Coturnix japonica: one gene and its partners. The protein of the gene in region 3 interacts with the protein of the main gene of each other region in a biochemical or structural test. Links are inferred from orthologs where the notes say so. Each region holds a gene or a part of one and is shown on either strand. Other genes may lie near its edges.

What was found.
Region 1: the proteins of MSH4 (region 3) and MLH3 form a complex in vitro, tested with the Homo sapiens proteins (2 studies listed by BioGRID). The link is inferred for Coturnix japonica from reciprocal best matches to the Homo sapiens genes MSH4 and MLH3.
Region 2: the proteins of MSH4 (region 3) and MSH5 form a complex in vitro, tested with the Homo sapiens proteins (2 studies listed by BioGRID). The link is inferred for Coturnix japonica from reciprocal best matches to the Homo sapiens genes MSH4 and MSH5.

The regions. Positions count from the first base shown.
Region 1 is NC_029520.1:34,599,354-34,605,259, reverse strand, and holds part of MLH3 (DNA mismatch repair protein Mlh3), read left to right. Parts: coding exon 1-1,677; intron 1,678-3,494; coding exon 3,495-3,593; intron 3,594-4,245; coding exon 4,246-4,316; intron 4,317-5,317; coding exon 5,318-5,422; intron 5,423-5,906. UniProt on the Homo sapiens protein: Probably involved in the repair of mismatches in DNA.
Region 2 is NC_029518.1:52,072,870-52,077,757, forward strand, and holds the end of MSH5 (mutS protein homolog 5), read left to right. Parts: coding exon 1-1,525; 3' UTR 1,526-1,945; intron 1,946-3,114; 3' UTR 3,115-3,168; intron 3,169-3,433; 3' UTR 3,434-3,555; exon of another isoform or gene 3,556-3,855; 3' UTR 3,856-4,165; downstream 4,166-4,888.
Region 3 is NC_029523.1:26,865,210-26,871,802, forward strand, and holds the start of MSH4 (mutS protein homolog 4), read left to right. Parts: upstream 1-2,785; 5' UTR 2,786-2,843; coding exon 2,844-3,087; intron 3,088-5,039; coding exon 5,040-5,204; intron 5,205-6,593. UniProt on the Homo sapiens protein: Involved in meiotic recombination. Required for reciprocal recombination and proper segregation of homologous chromosomes at meiosis.

The DNA of each region.
Region 1 (5,906 bases), on a different chromosome or scaffold from region 3:
AAGACCAAGTTGTGCAGAAAAGCAGTACAGTTGGTGTCTCAAATAATGGTTTTACTCGGTGGCCATCTGAGAGAGAGGACCCTTCTGAGACTGCAGGGGAATCTGAAACTGTCTATGGAAATTCACTGATAAGACCACATAATGTGAGAGAAGGCGACAGGGAAAGAAGTGAAGTGGTAGATAATGCTGGAAGAGGGGCTGTTAGTTCAGTACCAGAAAAAGTGCATTCTCACTTGGGCCTCAAAATACGTGTCATGCAAAATGAGCCACCCCGTGAGCATAAACAAACAGAAACAAATCTTGCATTAAACATGCACTGCAGAGCTGGCCCTGTCAGTGCCAAGCATACCCAAGCATACTCACACAATGTGAGTTTGCCAGTTCAGGCTTTAAATGCTAAGTATATTTCCATAAATGTGAATAAAGAATATATACCTTTCTGCAGCAGAGAAGTAGGCAGTGCCGATGGAAATGAGCGGTCAGAGAATAAAAGTTTGCCGAGTCAAGCACGTGATGGGAGAGACACGTCCACTGCCACCAGTAAAAGACATTATGAAATATCACATGTATCAGACTTGCCGCTGGCAACATCTTCAGGTATTTCTCACAGTAAAGCTGCAGAAAGCCCTAGAAGACAAATAGCTGCGCCAAGATCACAGCCTTGCAAGAAGCTGAGCCTAGCTACACAGCTCGGTTCATTAGAGAAGTTCAGGAGATATTATGGGCGTGTCAAGTGTACACTACCAACACCATCACCAGAGCAGAGTGAATTTCATCTCCCAGTTTCTAATGCACAAGCAAACTGTGACTTTTCAAGGAGTCAGAATAACAGCCGTGGTCACTTGAGCATTTGTGAGACTCCAACTTTGGATTCTAATAATAACAGCCACGTTTTGAGATCTTCAGATGAAGTTCTACTGTGTAGTGGAGAAACTCCACTGGACAAACGAACCCTTTGCCGCAGTCCTTTGACATTGTCTGATTACTCAGAGGTTAGTAAACAAACTACAAGTAGTCAAAGATCTCCAGGATCCCTATCATCCAAACTGTGCCAAATGAAAAGTGATCACCGAGCAGTACAACAGCTGGGTGAACAACTCCAAACTGATTCAAGTAGAAAAGATAACCACTCTTTTGATCTTGAATCTTCAAATAATGATCTTTTATATAACCCTTGTCAAAGGTATAAAGCCTCAGTGGAAGAAATGAGGGAAGGTCACAGCATTTCTAAGGGGGATGTTTGCCCACCATCAGATGATCTGAGAGCAGAGTCCATGAAATGCCCTGTTAGCCTGTCACCACTCAGCAGCACTGAAGGAGAATGCACAGTTTCTGCAAGTAGTGTTTTACCAGCAAAAAATGATGGCGCTGAGGTCATCTGTGAAGATGAAAGTATGTTAAATGAATCATCAAAACAAAGCGTGAAAGATGCTGACGTTCACTGTGTGGTCTCTCCAAGTAACTTGGCGTTCTCTGCAGACAATGGAAATGTGGGTGATCCCAGGGATGATTTGCGTAGTTCAGACTGGCTGCAAGATTTTGATGCTTTGTTGGGTAAGACAGTCTACATCAATAAGGCAACGGGACTGAGCACCTACAACACTCCTCCTGAAGAGTTTCCAGCTGCCTGCATTACAGACTTAACAACAATGGCTGTGAACGTTGTCTCAGAGAATGGTAAGATGATTTGTTGTTGTTATAAAAATGGGATGAGGAAATCAGTATTTGTTCTGCTAGGTGCATGGAATGTTTTGCTGGCTGCACCTGACACTCACACTGAAAAATCCACTGCCTTATACATAGCAGAAAACAGAACTGTTGGTGACTATGGAGACAAAACAAACATGTTAATGTTAAGATGTTACAAGATGGTTTTTAATAAAATAGTGAAAGGAAATGTCAGCGCTTAGTTTTCGCTAAGCATCATGACATCTACTGTAATCACACTCATATCTAATTGCTGTCATATGCAAAGGCTGCTCTGAAACTTAATTCCTCCCATTTTATTATGCTGGCCCATGACATCAGAGATGGATGTTGATGGTAGGGTAGAAGAGGTTGAAACTTTCACCAATATCCCATTACGTGTTGTTGCTGTACAACAGATGGCAGCAAAGGGGCAGTCTGATAAAATGGTTTCTGACATGGGAGTGCGTGTGAAGCTAAGGAAACTGAATTCCTCCATATCCTTTGCAGAGGAAAAGGATCCGAGGATGTTGGTTGACACTTGGCTGAACATGAGCCAGCAGTGTGCCCAGGTGGCCAAGAAGGCCAATGGCATCCTGGCTTGAATTAGAAATACAGTAGGCAGCAAGAAGAGAGAGGTGATTGTCATAGGCCATGCGCTCCATGTGCCCAAGAGAAATGTAAGGTTTTGCAGGTTAGACTTAGGCATCTCTGAACTTAGTAAGTTGACCGTTACAGGAAAGTTTATCAATTTTTTTTCATAATCAAATTACTTTCTGAGTAATCTAATGTTCTGCATCAACATGATAATGTAATTATTATTCAAGTATTCTAGATGTATATGGTTTGCATGTATGAAGTAGAGAAGTTATTCTTGGCACCTTTTCTGATGTTACCTGTCAGATTAATAGTTGTAATAATATCTCTGCGAGCTCTGAATTCTCACTGGCCTTTGGACAAGAAAATCCTGACTTCATGAGCAATGTATGTCCATCACCAGGCTTTAATGGGATAAAGCCAGCAGTCAGGAGTCGATGGACTGGCCACAGGACCTCATAGAACCTTTTCCTACTGAGCTTATCAGCACACAGCTTTTATTTTTATTTTTTGGCTTTATCACTCTGCCATATTTCCTGAATGCACACCCTTAATTTCTTAGTAGAAAGGAACTTTATTAATTCATTATTATTTCACAAAGAATAGAAATCTGAATTGTACCAAAGGAAGGGTGACATGTTTACCACTGTGCTGGAAATCTGAGCCACTTAATAATCTTGATAACAGTGCAGGTTTGTAATATCATTAAATCATTTCTGGGTGGGTAGGAACATGTTGTTAGACTAACTTTGATAGCTCACGTGGTCTTACTGGCTTGTAGTTTGCAGTCTTACAAGGTGCTGATAACTGCTGGTAACTACTGATGGTGGTGGTAATGGATTGACAGCTCTGCCACACCTGAAAAGAGGGAAGTCAAAAGTGTTTTGATTGTCTGTATGCCATCTCTTTCCTCTTATGGTAAACATTTATGACTGCATTAATTCTTTAAGTAATTTTTATGTGATTAAAATCATAACCAGTTTTTAAGAATGTCAGTCTTGCAGAAGCCACTTTTCCAGCTGCAAATGTATCTGATAATTCTCAGTTTTTACATATGAGCTGCTATTTCTTAATGCTAGATTGCCAAATCAACATAAGAGTCTAATTTGCTCAGGGCTAAGCAAGCATTCATTTATGAAAATATAATTGTATAGCCTTTTGTGTTTTTGCACACTGATGAATTTGCAGAAGTCAATTTATGTTGTTTTTAGGGTTTCAGTGCAGGTGCCATCCCTTTAGAAGTGAGATTTTGCTACCCTTCCTTCCTAGACCTGGAAAAGAGAAGACTCTAGCAAGCCAGGATCAGAGAGGTAGGGCCAGCTTTCCAGGACACAGTGTACTGCTGTAAAAACAAGTCAAAGAATTCTCCCAGGTGTCCCAACAGGAACCCAGAATTACTCAAGGTCTGCTAACAATGGGACTGTGTGAGTCACCTCAGATCTAGAACTGGAAAAAAACCTCTTTGAGGGTTGAAGGTAGGTTAGGGGGTACTTATTTACAGATTAAATACCCAGCTCTTTGTTGAATGATGTCAGTAGCTTAAAGAATAATTACCTAGTCCCTTCTTTGTACTCATTCCAACCTTGGAATGTGAAAAATAGCTTCAATCCACACATTCTTTTTGTGGTAGAATGGATGAAATCACCTTTTTGGTATGTGGCTTTGTCCCGAAGCAGTGGGTAGCTAAATAGGTCCTTCATTTGTTTTTGTTTCTTTTCCCTCCTCGTTTCCAAGGCCTGTAGAATTGTGCTGCAGTGTGCTCAGGAAGCTGCACAGGGTCTCTTCTAGATAAAGCAAACAATAGAGAAGCCCACTCTCATGCTCCATTATTTATCTGTACAATCACCCGTTTTACTAAAGGAAAAAAAAATGTAATTATACTTGTGTGAGGTAGAGGTACCCAATGTACCTTCTGCTGACAGCTTATGGTAGTCCCTGTATTATCTGTGTGCTCTTTCCCAGGTGGTGATGGCGGGTCTCTGCAGACGATGCTTTCAGAATGGGATAATCCTGTTTTTGTTCGCTGCCCAGAGGTAAGCATTATCTTGCATCTCACACCAACACATAGGAGTTATTTTATCTGATATGGGGACCAAAACTGCAAGTATTGTAACTGTTCTGTATAATTTATTCAGTTATACTTTAGACTACAGGCCTTGCAATTATATTTTATAGCTTGTTTATATGTAAGTCATTTTTATGCATGTATTCAAAGTTGGAGAGGCAGGTATTGGGCTAATCCTTTACCTTCAGTCATTTCAAAAGTAAGACTTTCTTGTAAGCTGTCGTCTTCTTTACGGAGATGTTCGTCTTAAAATAAGAAAGTTTGATGTCAGAATGGTAATATATTGTCTGTCCTCTTTGAGGACAGAGTAAAACAACTCATCTTTCTCCTCTGGGCTGCAGTGGGTCTTAAAGGTTTATTTTACTGTAGTTGTTTTCGTAGCCTAGCAGGACTGTAGCATGTGAGAGGGAAACAATGTTGGAACTTTTAGAAAAACTTCCTTTGTTGTCATGAGGCAGCATTATCTTTAATCATCGTGTTGCAAGTGTGTAAACTTACGTATGTAGCCATTTCCACCTGCACACAATGGAGATGGAGTCACAAACCACCTGCTGGTGAATTTTTGAAAAGGAACAATTCTGTTCATTTGTTACAGTGACAGATTCTGAGTCATTTCAGGGTGATGTGTATTTGTAACTCACTCCTCTGGGAGCTTATCTAGGCTGGTAGTCAACATCAGGTTTTCTGATAGGTATTCATAATTAGCTGAATGTACTGAAGTTAGCAGGTAATACCCAGATGGGAAAGTAAGTGGGGATGGAAACAGAGTGATTGCCAGACTGTATCTCTAACTAGTGCTGTGTTTGAGTGGAAAGCTTGGTTTGTCAAAATATGTAGAGCTACTTCCAGAAAGTTTTTTCCCAAATCTGACTTTTTTCTTTCTTTTTTTTTTTCCCCATGTTTATCCTAGGTAGCTTGAGCCTATAAAATATTAATCTAAATCACTTTTTTTTTTTTTTTTTTTTACAGGTAGCTGTTGATGTGACCAGTGGTCAAGCTGAGAATCTTGCTGTGAAAATTCATAATATTTTGTATCCTTATCGTTTTACCAAAGACATGGTTCAATCAATGCAGGTACAATATGATCTATTGCTAGTTTTCATGCTATAATTCCCGCTCAGTTGTTGGGATTTTCTGATGTCTCTGCCTTGTAGGAGAGAGGTATCCAGGGAAATAGATCATATCCTTAGTTTTCACAAACACAATCAGAAATCTTGGTGTATAATACCATCAGACACACATGTCAAGCCAGATCTTAGTATCTGGATAATCATCTATCTACAAAATGACTAAAATTCCTTGGTTGCATGGTCAAATCAAGAGGCAGCCTCATTGCTGCTGCTTTGAAACACTGATAACTAAATGATATTTCAACAGGTGGCTTTTTATATTTCTCGTAAATATTTGCTAGTTCGTGTTCTTCTGAAGTCTATCTCCTATCTCTTATGGTTCTATATTTATTGACTTTAGAAATTTAATTCTTAAGCAGAGTGGTTTCAAAAGCAAATCCTAGATTTCCTGGAAAGACTTGAAATTTCCTTTTAAGATTTATATCTGC
Region 2 (4,888 bases), on a different chromosome or scaffold from region 3:
CCATACGAAAGTTAGCGACTGGCAAGCACTCTATAAAACAGTGTATAGTGCACTGTGCCTTAGAGACACATGTCGCTCTCTTCCCCATAGTATCGAACTCTTTCAGACTATTTCACGTGTCTTCACTGATGATCTGCAATACATTGCTAGTCTAATCAGCAAAGTGGTGGACTTTGAAGGCAGTGTCTCACAAAATCGCTTCACTGTTAGACCCAACGTGGATCCCACCATTGATGAAAAGAAGCGAAGGCTAATGGGTCTGTCAGACTTTCTGACTGAGGTGGCACAAAAAGAACTGGAAACGTTGGACAGCCATATTCCTTCCTGTTGTGTGATCTACATTCCTTTGATTGGGTTCCTTCTCTCCATTCCACGGCTACCAAGTATGGTGGATAAAAGCGACTTTGAAATTGAAGGCTTGGACTTCATGTTCTTGTCCGAGGATAAACTGCACTACAGAAGTGCTAGAACTAAGGAGCTAGACAGCCTGCTGGGTGACTTGCACTGTGAGATAAGAGACCAGGAAACACTTATTATGCACCAGCTGCAGACAAAGATCTTGGAGAGGTCTGAAGTGCTTAACAGCGTGATCGAGTATACTGCACACCTAGATGTGCTGTTGGCTTTGGCAGTGATGGCCCGGGAGAACTCTTACTGCCGGCCACGCTTTACACAGCGCCATGGCTTCCACATCAAGGACGGAAGACATCCACTGATGGAACTATGTGCAAAGACATTTGTGGCTAATCCTGTGAACAGTGGTGAGGCTACCAGACGAATAAAGATAATCACTGGGCCCAACTCGTCTGGAAAGAGCATCTACCTAAAGCAAGTAGGTCTTATAATATTTATGGCTCTAATCGGCAGTTACGTGCCTGCAGCAGAGGCAGAGATAGGAGCAATTGATGGGATTTACACAAGAATCCACACTAGGGAATCAGTTTCTGTAGGACTCTCCACATTCATGATTGATCTTAACCAGGTTGCCAAGGCAGTAAACAACGCTACAGAGAGGTCATTGGTACTTATTGATGAGTTTGGCAAGGGAACCAACACACTAGATGGCCTGGCCCTTCTGGCTGCTGTGCTGAAGTATTGGATCAATCAAGGAACCCAGTGTCCGCAGGTCTTTGTCTCCACTAATTTTCACAGCTTAATGCAGCTGGAACTCTTGCCTGACACACCTCTTCTGGAATATCTGGCCATGGAGACCCACCAAGATGGAGATGAGTTGGTGTTTTTCTATCAGATCAAACAAGGAGTATCCACTGTTAGTCATGCTGCCAACATTGCTGCACTAGCTGGAATGCCAGCCAAAATTATTGAAAGAGGAGTGGAAGTGTCAGAACTGATTCGCAATGGAAAAGCTATCAAACGTATTGATCATCCTGCCAAAGGAGACCAGATGGAAAAATGCAAGGCTGTTGTTGAAAGGTTTCTTAGCCTAGATCTTGATGATCCTAATGTGAACTTAGAAGAGTTCATGCATAAAGAGGTGTTGCCTTCTGCAGCCTCAATTCTGTAGCATGGCTATGTCTATAGGCATATATTACAAGTTATCTGCCATGTTCAGTAGGGTGGTTTGGTAATTTCAACAATGACTATGACTAATGTATCACACTACATTTTACTTTTTAAAACTGTCTATAGTGCATGCTATTTCTTATTCCTGTCTAAAATCAGTATGGAAGCTATATATCTCTGTATGGTGCATGGTATGAAAGCAGGAAGACTGAAAGAGGAGAGAGAATTCAAGAACCTCTTCCAGCTGTTGGATCGTGCATTTTGAGCCCCTATTGTTGGATTCTCAGACTGGAAAAATACTGTAGAAAAATCGAAATAGTTCTGCTGGTCTCGTGAGACTATAAAAACAAAGTGTTTATTGTTTTGTGTACAGTGGAAGTAATCATTTCGGTCATTTTAGGATCATCACCAAACGATCACAGTAAGTATGTGCCTTGGACTCCCAGATCAGCAAATAACGTTGCTACAATACAAACCACTAAAGTAGACTCTGATTAATGGAAATACAGAAGGATCTAATGAGCTCTGTGACATTTAATAAAGCTGCATTTCTGGCCATAATGGCAGAGAAACTCCAAGAGTTGATATAAAAAGAATGGAAGTCAGAAACAGTGGGGTTTGACTAAAAGAGAAACACTTTGGTTTTATTGAGAATAATTTTTCTGTTATTTCTGAGTATGTATGCAACACATATTCACGAACAAGTGAATAAAGAGAAGGCATGATATACAGTTACCACAAAAGTAATAACCTTCCCTGCAGTAGCATAAATGCCTTAGATTCATTATCTAAGTAAGACAGAAAGACATTAGATATCTGATTGACTGCCAAAGCTTGCAGTAACTGCTAACAATATTGCTAATCAGAGATAATCAGCAGATATATTGGATCTCACTTCTGCTCTACTTGTTTTCAAGAAGACAAGATTCCACTACCACTATTTCAAGAGAGAAAAATTATATAAGGAAAAAAAATAGTTATATTCATAATTACTGGTACTAAACATTTTATCTGTTTGGTATATTTCACTGAAGACAGTGAGGTAAATGTGAGTGTCCACCAAAAAGATCTGAAATCAGAAACAGTTCAGTGCAGGCTCAGTGCAGAATTTCCTCCTTTTATGGTGTGCATTTATGATAGTACAAAATAAGTAACTTTTGTTATCTCTAAAGAAACTAGGATAGTGACAAATGTTTAACATACATTACATGAAAAATACAAGAGTAAATGACTGCTGCTTTCAGTGTGATCATAATAACACTACCTGCAAAATAATATCTGACATCTTGGGGATATTACCGCTGAAGTTGAATGGTAGCAGTGAACAGCCATGGACTATACTTACTAGTGCTGTTTACAGATTTTTCTCACAAATATATTATCCTTTATTAAATACACATACTGCATTCTAAATATGTGCTGCATAGAGGAATATCGTATGTTAAATATTCTTAAGTTATATTTTTTGAATACTTTCTTGTCAGCCTATGCCTGGACTAAGGATATACAGCTTTTTAATTAACCAGATGCCATCTGAGCAGTGTAACTGTCAGTCATCTGCTAATAAAATTCATTTCATCATATTTGCAGTTCAGACAGCAATACGTACTAAAGGATTTCTGGATGTTATGCAGCATTTATCAGGTGAGCCTCACAACACTCCCTGAAATAAATAGCAGATGAATGAAAAACAGAGGGGTCGTGACTGACCTACAGCAATGTAGCAGGATAGTGAGGGAAGGAGGAATAGAAAGGTTATTATTAAGTGCAAAACTCAAGTTACTTCTTTCACTGTGTTCAGTTGTTCTTTGTACAGAAGATAATGATACTAACCCAGTATTATCACCCAAGTCAGCTGTGAAACAACTAAGCATGTGCAAGTCAGTTATCTCCCTTTGTCTCGTTCCAGAGAACACCCAAAGAAACACTGTGCCTGCTTAACCTGGGGAAGTTTTCCATGGCACATTTAATTTCAGGACTGTCAAACTAAATGTAAAGAATGAGTTTCTCCACTTCTGAGCAGATAAGAAGGTAACCTGAGAAGCTGAGTGGACACTCAGACATCTCCTCCCTTATCCACTTTATCTGAAATGTTATCCTTTATTAATTTCTATTTCCAAGGTTGTGCTTTTTGTTTTGTTTTTACATTTATCATCTTGTCTATGTTCAGCTTAATGCTGCGACTTCAAAGTGGAAAGCTGCTTTCTTCAGATGTTTCACAATTAAACTCAAAATGATAGAGAAGACTGATGCTAATGCCAGTGGATTGACTGACGATGCTTCCTGTTAATTTACAGATTTTCAATACATAATATCTTTCTAAATCTATAGAATACTACGTGTATTATCCAGTATTATGGAGGACCAAGGAAGATTATTCGAAATGACACCGACCCGGTTCTGTCAGTAGCTGTGAATATCAGAACACAGAAAATATGTATCCTGGCCAATACTTCATGCAAGGTAGATGAATGCTTTAAAGAAACAAGAAAGAAAGAAAGAAAGAAAGAAACAACAGACTGGCAAAAAAGCACCTTGAAGATCTGAGATATTTTAACAAAACAGTTACATTGATGAGCAGCTGATATTCTGCAAAAGCTGTGGATTTTTAGAATATTTTTAAAAGCAGCTGTTATAACAAGCAAAAGCTTCAGCCTACGATTTTATGAGCTACAACACACCACCTACAACTGGCTGACAAGTCCTTATTTTGCTTCAGAGCAACTCTGCATTATGTCATGTCCCTGAAGCTACTTCATGTATCTCAGAACTCATTTCATCTTCCGGCTGATTTCAGAATATTCCTTGATTAAGATCTTCACCTTTCGTATTTTATAGGTTTTTTTTTCTAATGAATAAAGTACTTTAATGCTTGCTAAATCAACTGACAATAATTATACTATGTACATAGTTTTAGAAAATATTTCTTCTGAAAATTACTTTCCTGGCCAATGTTGAAAGGTTACATAAAACATTTTATTGCAATGCTAGCAAAGAAATCTTATGGAGATATATCTTATGTTAATAATAATTTACTGTTAAGTTAGTGTGAAATAAAAAGCTAGACAACCTATTATTGCTTCTCTATATTTCTCATAGATATTGTAACTTATTTCTATGTTTGTCTACTTTTTCTTGTCAAAAAAGCTAATAAATGGGCAAGAAATAGATACCGGCAAGAGAATATGATACTATGATTTCATCACTAGTGTGTAATTCACCAAAACATATTCAATCAAGAGAAATGTTAGCCTGCAAATCATGCATAATCAACATATGAATTCCCCTGTTTATTTGCTTATTTTCTCCCAAAGGGGAACCAAACAATATCCACACAAGCAGCATATAAATACGGTGACAGCAT
Region 3 (6,593 bases):
GGTAGCATCTATCTTTATGCAAGCATGTTTTGATGGTGTATCACACAGCACTTTAGGAGAATACAGGAAAAAAAACACCCAACTTAAGCCATGCACTTAATGCCAAACACTTCTATGTGTAATTCTTTCATGCTTGACCTCACATCTATATACTCAGATGAAAGCTAGTTCTTTTGATAGTAATCGTTACCAGTGAAAGCAACAAAAAATATGATTTCTATTAAATACAGGAGTATACTTCAATTACTGGTGAAGTTCCTTTTGACAAAATTCCCGATAGTTGAAATGGAACATACCTTGAGTGTATCTACATTGAAAATTGCTAATGTTAATCATTCTGGAGAAATTCTCCATAGGTATGTGACTTGCAGCTGAATATTGTGTTGTATTAGGTGGGTATGAACTCGGTATGTAACGCAATAGGCTTTCCCGTGCTCAGTAGTGCATATGTATGAGATGAAATAGGAGACCTATATAAGGGACTCACGCAGTCGAATAAACACCATTTTGCCTCTCACCACATTGGTGTAAGGACCAGCGTGTAACTTGGTCGGGGCCATCAAAGCACCTTACTGAGGGACGTGACTTCCAAGGTTATCAGATCAGGTAACAATATAGTGCTGATCATAAGTTTGTTGCTGGACTAAAATTCAGGTTTTGCAGCTTTTAAGAATAAAAATTGCCAACACTTTGAGATGTAATTGAGGGTTAAATTAGCCATGGAAAACAGTCATCTGAAATATTAAATCTTGTCTATTCAGAAGCCCTAAAACTGTATGTCACTATACCCTCCTGCATGCAGTCTTAAACAGAGCTCTGCTTCACAGTAAAATGTAGTTGTGAAGGGGAAGAAGTTGTCTTTGATAATCTCTGTATGTATACTTAAAAAAAAGGTCTAAAACTATTTCAACACTTTTGATCACCAGCTGGTTAGTTTTATCCAACCCATTCATCTTAGAGAAAAGGCACAGTGACTTTCTGGGAAATTCAGAGACTGTTTGCTCAAATATAATGTGTGGGGTTTGTTTTTTTTTTTTAACCTTTAGATTTCCAAAAGCTTTTAGATGATGATTTAAAAAAAAAAAAAAATCAAAATGGTTCCCTTCTAATGGTTCCATTTCCTGGTGAATTATTTGGTCAAAGCCTGGAATTTATTTTTTCAAGATTTGGAATTAAGTTAAGGTTGACTTTTTGTTGAGTATGGGGGGAAATGAGAGCACTGATTATAGTTGTTTTTTGTTTTTTGTTTTTTTAAATTTGTAAAAATAAAGTTAAGAAGAAATAACCTCACATTCTGGGTTGTTTTTGTAAGTGCCACTTTTTTTATTCATAGCTTCTTTAGCCAGTGTGTAGGGATTTGCTACTTTTTCCATGTTATATAGAGATAACGATATGGTTTGTAATTTCTGGTTTAGTATAGACTGAGACATTCTGGGAATTAAAATTTGGATGATACTTCATGAAAGTGTAGAACACTGTGGTCTGAAATCCTGATAATGTTATTGGAACTTTTCTCTGAATGAGGACTGGTCACCTTGATTTAAGATGTAATTAATAAAGATCATGTTATGCAGATTGCAAGTTAAAAATGAGTATGTGTTTGTCCAAACTAAAAGCTTCTAGAATTTCTCCTCCATTCTTTACCTCTTAATTTATTATAAATATTGTGTACACATATAAAAAAAAAAATCAGCTTTTCTTATACAAACAAAAGAACACTTCAGTATGTGATTTTTGTTGCAGAATACATTGTTAAAAATCTCCTGTGTTTTTTGTTTTTTTTAATGCTTCTTTCGATTTATTTTTTTTAAAATTTTTTCCCTGAGTTTATGTACTTGATATGTTGCAGTACTTTACCTCACAGCCTTCAGTTACTGGTCCTTTATTAAAGGCTTTCAGAAGTTTGTACTTTTTTATCTGTGCAGTTCTTTGTATGGAAAGGTCCTGACACTTTCTTCATACTTAAATCTTCATTGCTGTAGTGTGGCTACCGGGCCAGGTTAAAGGGCTACCTGGGAAAAATCTGCAACCATTCTGTTAGCTGCTACAACCACTGTCAAGGGTAGAGACAAGGTGTCATGTTTGTGACAGCCTGGTTAGACAAAGTGTGCGTTATGATTTATGAACATAAGAAATGGGGGTCATGGGGAAGATGTAGCTTTTGTTTCTGTTTTTCTGTCTGTGCAGTTAGATTTCTGTCTGAAGAGAAGGTCTAACGCCATCTTCGAGTTGTTAAAATAGTAGCAGTATCTGAAACTGGAATTCTTCATCCATTGCGGTGAAACTCAGGTTTCTGACACTTGTATTTTTAAAGCTGTGTCTGCTGGAGGTGCTCCCCTGCTCTGACCTGGACACTGGCAGCTGGTGCCTTTCAGTGCTGGCAGCTGCTGTAGCACTGGTTGTCCAGTCAGCTGTAAAACACGGTGCACAAATGATGCTTAAACGCCCGCCGCTGTGTAAGGAACTCGGCAGCCGCCGTAAGGAACTCGGCAGCCGCCGTAAGGAACTCGGCAGCCGCCGTAAGGAACTCGGCAGCCGCCGTAAGGAACGCGGCAGCCGCCGTAAGGAGCACGGCAGCCGCCGTGCCGCCGTAAGGAACGCGGCAGCCGCCGTAAGGAACGCGGCAGCCGCTGTAAGGAACTCCTCAGCCGCTGTAAGGAACGCGGCAGCCGCTGTAAGGAACTCCTCAGCCGCTGTAAGGAACTCCTCAGCCGGCAGCTCGCGGGGAACAACCGAGCGGCGGCTGGGTCGGGGGGGGGGTGTGTGTGACAATCGTGCGCATGCGCGGTGGGCTCAGTTTGCCGCCGCTTTCAGGTGCAGTGTCGGCTGTGCGTGAGGCCGCGATGTCGAACGGCAGCAGCAGGACGGAACCGGGCGGGAGAGGGGGCGCCTCGGCCGCCTCAGGGTCCTACACGGGCCGCTGCTCCTCCGTGTCGGGGCCGGGCGGGCACTACACGCTGGGCCTGCTGCAGACGCCGCGCAGCACCTCGGGCAGCACCGGCGGCCTTTCCAGCGGCGGGGCGGGGCTCACTCCGTTCCGTGCTGCCGGCAGCAGCAGCAGCAAGGAGCCGCGCTCCGGGCGGGGAGGTAGGAGCCGTGTGTCCGTGTGTCCGTGTGTCGGAGCGGGCTGCGCCCTGCGTGTCTGTCCGCGCTGAGCCGGGCCGGAGCTGCGGCAGCCCGTGTGGTCGGCGGGCGGAGCCGGAGCGGCGGCTGTTCGTCCCGGCCGGCATGTTCCGTTTGGTTCGGCTCCTCAGAACAAGGGCGGCGTTACTCACGTTTCTTAAAACAAACGCTGTTTTTGCATGACCTTTTAGATAATTAGCGCATGGAGTCATTTGGCTGATTGAATTCCACCGCAAAGGTTGCTGCCACCACAGGCTGTACCGGATTCAGTTGGTTACAGTTACTTGGCCTAGCTTAGCCTAGTATTGCTGTCCCGGTGCACTCGGAGCCTGTGGTCCTGGCGGTTGCTCACAGTGTGTCCTTGGAGCACAACTAATCACCTGCTCCTGCCGACTTTTTGTCTTGACAGGCTGGAAAATGTGGGTGGTTGGTTTTTGTCTTTGTTCGTTTGTTTTTTATTTCCCCTTCAGTAAAACTACTATAGTAATAAAAATGGGGCACTTGCTGAAATGTCTTCTGAAGTACATACGTTCCTGTTATGTGTAAACTGGGATGACAGTAGTGTGTTTTTCAGTAAGAGGTACGGTCAGCCTTGTATTCAAAACAGGCCAAAACTTTTGATACCCATTTGTTCAGGGCGTAGCTCTGAGCATATTTTGATTATTATTTTTAAAGATGTTGGTGGCTCGGCTCCTCTGGTCTTTGAAATTACTTTTTCCCCACGCATTAAGGCAGGTGCAGTACATTCAAGAGTAATAGCAAAGTCTCTTCTGCCAAAATGCTGAATGAACTTACGCTGAAGTCGAAGTGAATACCAATGTTAACTGTCATCTTTTTGCGTTGTGATGCAGATTTTTCCACTCGTTACAAATAAATAAAATGTGTATCTGAATTAATGCTATTTGTTTTCAAATGTATTACAGTGGAAGATTTGCAAGACCTCTTCTAAACATGGTGCTGTAAATATTCTTGTACTATGTGAAACTGTCATGTAATTGGTTCACTTAAGAAAAATACTTTATTACTTTGTAAATAAATTTTGACGTAATATATAGAACGGAAACAGTTAACATGTCTCTTTATATGTAGTATTTTGAATGTTTCAGGTGCAAAAAATCCATTCTGTACCCTTAAAATTTTTAAAAAGCAGTTATCAAAGCTGGATTAAGGATGTTATGTTTTTACTCATCTCGAGAGCACTTGAGATACGTAAAATACTATTTACCAAATAAATTACTAATTTATTGCATTTAAGAGCTATCTGAAAAAAAAAAATTGTTCTGCCGCATTTAAAAAAATAAGTCAATCTGTGTATCTGCAGAAGAAATGGCAGGTAACAGTTAACTAATATGTTTCAGATTACTGTGTCATTTCTGAGGGTTGAACCTCATAGATTCAAAGGGAGATCACGGTCAAGCAGAGCGTGTTTCTGAGCAGTTCTTTGCTCTTTTAGTGCCCTTTTTTAAAAGGGATGTTCATGTTAAAAAAAATATTATTGTGACCTTTTCAGACTCTGGAACTTCCATAAACAGAAGTTTCAGCTATGGATTTTAAAACAAATGGGAAACTGCAGGATAGAGCTGTCAGTTATAGCATTTTTTTTCATGGATCTGGAACTCATTAGAATATGAAATTATGCATTGTAAAATTACTCCAGTTATATTGTTTCCGTCCAGCAAATTAAGCAGATATTTTTATCACCACTGCAAATAAAGTCATTACAGAAAGCAGCTATCAATACAGGCTGGCTTTCCAAACAAACTCATTATTTCAGGCTTGTCCTACTGTAGAGAAGGCTATTGGGGGTGGATTGCTGAGATTTCTGTACTTCTAGTACAAAACAGAAGGTTTTCTAAGATGCGTATGTGTTGTTTTCAGAATGGAAACTGACTGTTTTTCTTTCCCTTTCCCTCCAGAATCATATCTTGGGGACAAAAGTTCTTGTGCAGAAAATGCTAGTGCAGTGAATTTCACAGATGGTTGTTCTGCACGAGGCCTGAATAAGACATGTGTAGGAAAAATACCCTTTTCTGCTAGTAGGTCTATTGGCAGAAGCCATGCCCCTCTTACAGGATATTCAGGTAAATTGATGTTGCTTAAGGGAAATAGTTCAACATCTGTCTCTAACGTTTTATTAAACATACTTTATTTTTCAACATGCTTATGATGTGACACTGAAAGATAAATCATAATCTTTTTTTTATACCTAAGCAGCCTAGATCCAAGGGAGGCATAATGATAATTCTCTAAACTAGTTACTTATGGACTGATTCTTAAAAACATGTATTTCAACTTAAAAAAAATCCTGATAAGACTAGAAATTGATTCTCTACTTGAAACTGAATTGAATTCTTTGATTGAAAAAGTGAGGTAGCATGAATTTTGTAATTTCTTACAGCTGTTGTGATCCTCTGTTCTCTATTTGACTACTCTAGGAATTGCAGTGACTATAGCTTTGTAACTCACGGAGCAGGTTTCTCTAACCTTTATGTGTTTTAGCAGTTAAAACCGTATTTTTAATCTTTACTTTTAGTCTACAAGTATACATGTACATGTTTCCATATGTCTGTGTGGTTATTTGTACTTGCTGTGTTGTATGTAAAACTTTGGTCACAGTTTCACTGGTCTGAACTGAAGACCAGCAATACCACTTTATGAAGAACATTGGTTGATCATTGTATTTTTTATTTTTTTTTTTGTGTATGTAACAAACTAAACAACTCACCATCATCAAAATCAAAATTGTCTAACTACTGTAACCTAATTTAAGATCATTATCACCTCTTAGTTGCAGTTTAAAAAAAAAAAAAGTAATCAGCTACTGATAGGGTGGGGGGAAGTCATGGGTAGATCATTCAGAATAACAGTTATGTTTTCAAAGCAGGCCTTAGATGAAACTATGCGTGAATGCCATTGCTGGCATCTATCGAACATAGGGTGAATGAAGGTTCAGACTCAGCTGTGTGCAGTATCAAAGACTACATTTTCTCAACGCTTAGGTAGCAATTAGTTGGACATCAAGTTGTCACTTCCTAGATAAATTTTTGATGAGGGTTGCTTTTTGAGATTTCTGATGGGGTTAGTTTTGGTCTTGGGGATACAAATTGATGGTATCCATAAGAAAATTGCAAGTTTGTTTTATTATGCCTTCTTGAGAGAACAGTTCTGTTCTGAGGACACTTGTATTCCAATCTTATTTGAGAGCTGATTCCACTTTTGAGGAAAGTAGTGATGGGAAACAATATAAATAATTACATGAAACAAACACAGGTTATTGGTATTTCAGGTGTTGTATATGCTGTCAAAATCTGATACTGTGTAAAAGGAAGTATCTTTCTTATTTTAAGAACATTATCCTTGGTTGTTATTTAATAATGGTATGTCTTCTGAGTGTGTGAATTCAAGAATGTTTATAAAATGAAGACCCCTTCCAACTCAGCTGTTGTTAGGTTTGGTTTGACTTCTGCATG